Callithrix jacchus: one gene and its partner. The protein of the gene in region 1 interacts with the protein of each later gene in a pairwise test. Links are inferred from orthologs where the notes say so. Each region holds a gene or a part of one and is shown in the gene's direction. Other genes may lie near its edges.

The links. The genes of interacting proteins can lie anywhere in the genome.
Region 2: the proteins of QRICH1 (region 1) and NFIX interact in binary tests that used the Homo sapiens proteins (3 or more experiments, as listed by UniProt). The two-hybrid records come from large-scale screens. The link is inferred for Callithrix jacchus from reciprocal best matches to the Homo sapiens genes QRICH1 and NFIX.

What each region holds. Positions count from the first base shown.
Region 1 is NC_133516.1:31,676,592-31,680,242, reverse strand, and holds part of QRICH1 (transcriptional regulator QRICH1), read left to right. Parts: intron 1-572; coding exon 573-750; intron 751-1,252; coding exon 1,253-1,407; intron 1,408-3,651. UniProt on the Homo sapiens protein: Transcriptional regulator that acts as a mediator of the integrated stress response (ISR) through transcriptional control of protein homeostasis under conditions of ER stress.
Region 2 is NC_133523.1:11,895,388-11,899,038, forward strand, and holds part of NFIX (nuclear factor 1 X-type), read left to right. Parts: intron 1-148; coding exon 149-223; intron 224-632; coding exon 633-753; intron 754-1,893; coding exon 1,894-2,030; intron 2,031-3,651.

The sequences.
Region 1 (3,651 bases):
TGCTCCCCCTTAGAGAGATTCTGGGGTAAGTCTGGCTATTAGGGTTTTTTAATAAAAGATTTGACCAGGCATGGTGGCTCACGCCTGTAATTTCAGCACTTTGGGAGGCCAAGGTGGGTGGATCACCAGAGGTCAGGAGTTCAAGACCAGCTTGACCAGCATGGCAAAATCCCATCTCGTCTGAAATTACAAAATTAGCTGAGCATGGTGGTGCATACCAGTAATTCCAGCTACTTGGGAGGCTGAGGCAGGAGAATCTCTTGAATTCAGGAGGCGGAGGTTGCAGTGAGCTGAGATTGTGCCATTGCACTCCAGCCTGGACAAAAGTGAAACTCTGAAAAAAAAGATTTAACAGTGCAGCTGAGAAGCACTGCACTAGCCCAGTTGCAGTGCTGCTTTTGCTGTCCCTGAGTTAAGAAGTAGAACTCCAAAGCTGCTTAAAAGTAGGACAGCAAGGAATAGAGAGATATTTTCTTAAATAAATGAACTATACATAACATTTTTCTGGCAATTTTGCAGAAGGATCTAATACAAAACAATACTGACACATTTTCATGGTTTCTCTCCCATAGGCTCAGACTGTCCAGGTTGCTGAAGTTGAACCACAATCACAGCCACAGCCTTCCCCAGAACTTCTGCTTCCAAATTCTTTGAAGCCTGAAGAAGGGCTTGAAGTATGGAAAAACTGGGCCCAGACCAAGAATGCTGAACTAGAGAAAGATGCTCAGAACAGATTGGCACCCATTGGGAGTGAGTGTTTGGGAAGAAGAGTGGGCTCTGTCTAAAATACAGCAGGAAGACAAAATGGCAGAAAAGTGGTATCCCCTATCTTGGAGCCAAGAGAGCAAAATTTGAAATAGTATGTTGAATTCAAGCCTAGCAACAAGCAGTACTGACCTTGTGTACATAAGAAGCAGGATGTGTGGGGTTTGCCCAAAACCAGGTATTTTTAGACATAATGGGTTTCTGGAGTTGACCCTACCAGACCTGAGCAAAATGGCTTCTGGGAGGAAATGGGGACCAAGGAGTATGCGGTCAAGGTCCTTCTTTCTTGGCATTAGGCTCATACTCACGTTGTAGGCCTGTTCTGACATTACAGATGTAAGACATTACAGTAGATACAAGTGACCATTTCTAGCCCAGCACCCTGATGGGCAGTATCTGTTCTGAGCTTTTCAGATATGGACCCACAGGACCTCCATTCATCCTGGATTGCCAGGACCTCCATTCATCTTTGGGGCTTCTGTTGCAGGGCGCCAACTGCTGCGATTCCAGGAAGATCTCATCTCCTCTGCTGTGGCAGAGTTGAATTATGGGCTCTGTCTAATGACACGGGAAGCTCGAAATGGAGAAGGTGAACCCTATGACCCAGATGTGCTCTACTACATTTTCCTGTGTATTCAAAAGGTAGGAAACAGATCTTCTCAAGAACATGTTTGATCTGGGTTCTTGTTGTGTATTTGCTAGTTTAGTTAGTAAAATGACAAGCAAGAAGGTAAGGAACTCTTTCTCTTTCAGGTATATAGTGAGTTTTAAAATACATATTTTTTTAAGTCTTTTTTTTTTTTTTTTTTTTTTTTTTTTGAGACGGAGTCTTGCCCGGTCACTCAGACTGGAGTGCTGTGGCACCATCTGGGCTCACTGCAACCTCTGCCTCCCGAGTTCGAGTGATTCCCAGTAGTAGCTGGGGTTCTAGGCACCTCACACCCGGCTAATTTTTGTATTGTTAGTAGAGATTTTTCAATTTGTTGGCCAGGCTGGTCTCAAAACTCCTGACATTATGATCCACCCACCTTGGGTGTTGGGATTACAGGTGTGAGCCACCGCACCTGGCCTTTTTTAAGTTTTAAAAACCTACATATTCACTTTAGAAAATTAGAGCCAGTGCTAGGTGCTGGTGGCTCACGCCTGTTACCCCAGTGCTTTGGGAGGCCAAAGCAGGTGGGTCTCTTGAGGTCAGGAGGAGTTGAAGATGACCAGCCTGGCCAACATGATGAAACGCTGTCTACTAAAAATATAAAAATTTGCCCGGTGTGGTGGTGCCCACCCGTACTCCCTGCTAGCTGGGAAGCTAAGGCACAAGAATTGCTCGAACCTCGGAGGTAGAGGTTGTAGTGAGCTGAGATCATGCCATTGCACTCCAGCATGGATGACTCTTTCTCAAAAATTCGGGAAAAAAAAAAGCCGGACAAGATGTAATCCCAGCACTTTGGGAGGCTCAGGCAGAAGGTTCTCTTGAGCCCCAGGAGTTTGAGACCAGCCTAGGCATCATGGTGAAATCCTGTCTCTACAAAAAATTAGCCGGGATTGATAGTGCTCACCTGTAGTTCTAGCTACTTGGGAGGCTGAGGTGGGAGGATTGCTTGAGCCCCAGAAGTTGGGGCTGTAGTGAGTCATGAGTATGTCACTATACTCCAGCCTAAGTGACAGAGTGAGACCCTGTCTCAAAAACAAAAAAAAAAGAAAAAAAACCAGGAGTGGTGGTGCATACCTGTAGTCCCAGCTATTTGGGAGATTGAGGCAGGAGGATCCCTTGAGCCCAGGAGTTCAAGGCTGTGGTCAGGTATGATTAAGCCATTGTCCTTCAGTCTGGGCAACAGAATGAGACCTTGTCTCTTAAAAAATAAATACATAAAATCATAAAGTAGGAAAACAAACACTATTCATCATCCTACTACCTAGAGAAACTTCTGTTACATTATTGGTAATTACCTTGCAGCCATTCACTTTTATTATAAATCACAAAGCATTAATGTAACACTTTTCTTTTTGTTAAAGTAAACATGGTTTTCATGAAAGTAATTTATTCAAAACAAAGTCTTGTGCTAGTATAGAGCTTTTCTTCTCGTTGTTTTCTGCATTAGCACCAAATAGTTATTTAAAGGAGTGTGGAATAATATACCAATGTAGTTAGGTTTTCAGGACATCTGTGGTGAAGCATAACAGAGAAATTTATAGACTGGCAATTCAGGGGATCAGAGGTGGATTTTTTTTTTTTTTTTGAGACAGTTGTGCTCTTTGTTTCCCAGGCTGGAGTGCAATGGTGTGATTTCGGCTCACTGCAACCTCCACCTCCCAGGTTCAAGCGATTCTCCTGTCTCATCCTCCCATGTAGCTAGGATTACGGGTGTCTACCACCACACCCAGCTAATTTTTATATTTTTAGTAGAGACAGGGTTTCACCATGTTGGCCAGGCTGGTCTTGAACTCTTGACCTCAGGTGATATGCCTGCCTCAGCTTCCAAAAGTGCTGAGATTAGAGACATGAGCCACCGCGTCCGGCCAGATTTCTTAGTGTTCAAAGGATCTTGAGGAGAAACCTGCAGTATAATAGGACAAGGGTTACTGGTTGGGACTCATCCTGCTGCCTAGCTTTGACAAATGTGTGCCTCCTAGCTTTTTCCTCTTTCATTGATCCTATCCTAAGTACTATGTGAATTGCTTTACATGCTTTCATTGTGTGCTCTCCCCAGTCCTAGAAGACAGATACTGTCATCTCCATTTACAGGCAAGGAAACTGAGCCCCAGAAATTAAAAGACTTGCACATGTTATTTAACTTATACAATATCTAATGGAAGGCAAAGCCTATTCATGATTTTTCCACCACAAAACAATGCCTGGCTTGGGGGAAATAGCATTCACATTGTATG
Region 2 (3,651 bases), on another chromosome or scaffold:
GCCCCCTCTTTGGTGTAGACCTGAGGGCCAGCCTGGATCTGGAAACGGGACTTGGGAGGGAGAGTCAGCAGTGGGGAAGGCCTTTGCAAACAGGCAGGCAGCCCCCTTCTGGCCTTGTCTTGACTCACTCATCCTTTCCCCTCTTTAGGGCACTTAAGTTTCCAGGACTGTTTTGTGACTTCCGGGGTCTGGAATGTGACGGAGCTGGTGAGAGTATCACAGAGTAAGTGAGTCCTTCCTTCCAGGCCAGGGATGGGGATTGAAAGTAAGGAGGTAGGACCTCATGGGATGTCCTCCTAATGGAGTCTTAGGGGAGTGGATGGGGACAGATGGTTTCTGGGACACTATTGGCCCTGTTGGTGCTGGGCTGGGTATAGTAGAGTCTTCCAGAGAGCCCTGTCTCCAGTCTCCATTGCTTTGGAGGAAAAAAAAAAGTCACAACCAAAGTCTCTTCTCCTGTGACCCCTAGCTGAGAGAAGGTTCCTCAGCAGCCCAGATGGCCCACTTTCCCCCATCTCCTGGCCCCATAGTCAACTCACCCTGGGATTCTGGGAAACCATTCATGACAATGAAACAGACCCCATCAGGCCTCCCCCCACCTCCAAACCTCATCATCCTCTCATTCTTCCTAGCTCCTGTTGCCACAGCATCAGGGCCCAACTTCTCGCTGGCGGACCTGGAGAGTCCCAGCTACTACAACATCAACCAGGTGACCCTGGGACGGCGGTCCATCACCTCCCCTCCTTCCACCAGGTGAGCCCAGTGGCCCCACCTTCCCACCTTCTCTCTCCTCCCCCCAGGGCCAGGGCTGTCCTAGGTGGCTATAGGCAGCTATATCACTGAGGCTGGGGTGCTTCAGAATATCACCTCTCATTGAGGGCACTGGCTCTAACACTTTAGAGTTCACCAGTAGCAGTCACCCACTGAGCTCCTGCTTTGTGCTGTCATGTAGCACCTAGCCCTGGGGATACAAATTTGCACAAGGCATGGCTCTGCCTGGAAGTGGGAGTCTGAGAAAGTCTCTCCCTTGTGGAGGTGACATTTGAGCCCAGACACACAGGGGCAGGTCGGGGGTTTGTTGCAGGAGAAGAGGGCAGCCTCTGTCCCAGTCCAGCCTGCATAGGCTGGCGGGACCACCCTGCAGAGGGCTTTGGAGGCCAGAAGAAAGCATTTAGACTTCATCCTTGGGTAGCGGGGACTCCTAAGGGGTTTTAAGCGGGGATGCTGAGGGTGTGTGCTCCAGAAAGCTCTCGCCACCAGCAGTGTGTGGGCAGGACTGATTGCCAGTTAGGAAGCCATTGGAAAGGCTGGAGTGGGGGAGAGCCTAAAGGGGTAGGGGTGGCATGGAGAGGGAGAGAGATGCTTGGGAGGTGGAGATGTGGGTTCTGGCCAGGGCAAGTCATGCTGGGCAGGGTCCACCCTGTCTTTTTTTTAAAACGTGGGTGTTTTGAGATTTTCGACATTCATTTTGGTATTTTTTAAATATTGGACTATATTCTTTATATTGATAACTGAGTTTTGTGTTATTTTTGTCCCTTCAATTACCTCATTCACCTCACCCTAGCCTTGGGGGCTGCTGGGGAATCATGGGTGGGATACAGTAGGCAGCTGAGGGTTTTGCTCAGTTCTCTGATATGGGCAACCTGGAGGACTGTGGCATCACATATCGGGAAGGGGCTTGAGGAAGAGGAGCAGGCTTGGAGCTAGTGGCTTGAGGGCCTAGGGATGATCCTGGGGTTGAGCATGCAGTGAGTGCCCAGAAGTGCTTCTGTCAGCTGGCATCACTCCCCACCCAGAGGGCCATCTGTGCACAGTTGTTTGACCTGGACACTTGATCACTCTCTGGAGCCTCGGCCCATCCTTGGCCCATCTGATCCTTTCTTCTTTCCCCAGCACCACCAAGCGCCCCAAGTCCATCGATGACAGCGAGATGGAGAGCCCCGTCGATGATGTGTTCTATCCTGGGACAGGCCGTTCCCCAGCAGCTGGTAGCAGCCAGTCCAGCGGGTGGCCCAACGATGTGGATGCAGGTATGGGTGCAGGGGTCCTGACCCAGAGCAAGAGCAACCCAGAGCCTTTTTGTCCCCCTCTCAGTTTACCTGGTAAGCCTCCCACCAGTTCCTCCTATGTCGGGAGACATTACCCACCTATTTTCTTGCCTCCTGATCTTCCACGGAGGGCAGAGCAGGCTGAAGCAAGGGAGTGGAGGTGAGGAAGGGTGCTGTCAGAGTCAGCAGCAGAGCCTATGGTGTGGGAAGCAGAGGGGCTGCCAAGTCTCTGGTGCCCCATGGTGGGGTGGCCGCAGCCCCTCCTGGTATTTCTCTAGAGAGGTTGCCCCACCCTGTGGGCCTCATGGTTTAAAGCAGTTTCTCACCCTGGGCACTAATGACATTTGGGGGCTCATCATTCTGTGTAGTGGGAATTATTCTATGCACGGCAGGAGGTTTAACAGCATCCCTGGCCTCCACACATAAGATGCCAGCAGCAAAACACCCACCCACAATTTTGATGACCCAAAATATCTCCAGACATTGTCAAACGTCCCCTAGTGAGACAGCATCCTCCCAGATGAGAACCACTCAGGGCCCAGCTTTCCGGAGAGAGACTCAGAGTCTAGTGAAGAATGAGCAGAGTCCTTTTGAGACAAGACAGGGAAGCCAGCAAAAGGGAGAGAATACGGAGGATGCCAGCTTGACTCTTCCCAGTCCCTTCTAGGGATCCTCTTTCTGTTGAACCCACCCCTCTTCACCTCCATTTTTTACTAAGAATGCAGATAGACCTGGAAGAGAGTAACACGTGCGTGTGTATGCATGTGCATGAGCACATGTGTGTGAGGAGGCTGTCTTCAGGAGCCCCCCACTGATGTGCCAATGGTAGAGTCTGTGTATATCCTCACTGTGGGTGTGACAGGGCCTGGGAGTGCAGACCCATGAGTGTGAACTGTGCACTGGGCACATCTGCTCTGGATGGGCCTGGACCCTGGGCTTCATTCTCCTCCTCTAGAAGATGAGGATCTGAACTGATGGCACTGAGTCTGATGTTTTCCAGATATGCCCCTACTAAGAAGGGCCAAGTGGGCAGGCAGAGGCTGGGATGGAGCAGGGTAGCGCTGGGAGGCGCTCCTGCTTTTCTGCTGCCCCAGAATGAATGCAAACTCCGGCAGCTTCTCCTCCTCCTGGGAGGAAAGGAGGGCTTGCATCCAGGCCTTGGGCTGAGGGAGTAGGCCGGAGACCCTCTAGAGTCCGCCAATGGAGGCTGGCCTCTGTGAGAAGGCTTCCTCCCGTGATTCTCGGGTCTCTCCCAGGGTCTCCTTGTGGCGGGCAGGGACTTGGGCCAGCATGTGCTACATGCTTCCCTGGGGAGCCTTGAGAGGCAGAGAGAGGAGTTGAGAAGGCCTGGGAGACTCTTGGGTTACATCCTGGGTCCCTCACCAGGGCCTCAGTAGGTGACCGCTTCTGCAAGGACTGCCCATGTGGTGCATAGAGGGCTATGTCTTTAGCTGGCTCCTGAGGCAAGGGCTTCTGGGCTCCTCTGCCCAGACCTAGTTCCTGAGGAGCCCCCCTCTTCCTGGCTCCTGCTCTCTCTTTTCTTGGCTGTCTGCTTTTGTGCCTGCCATTTCTGCATTTCTGCTCTTTCCGGCAGTCCTGCCAT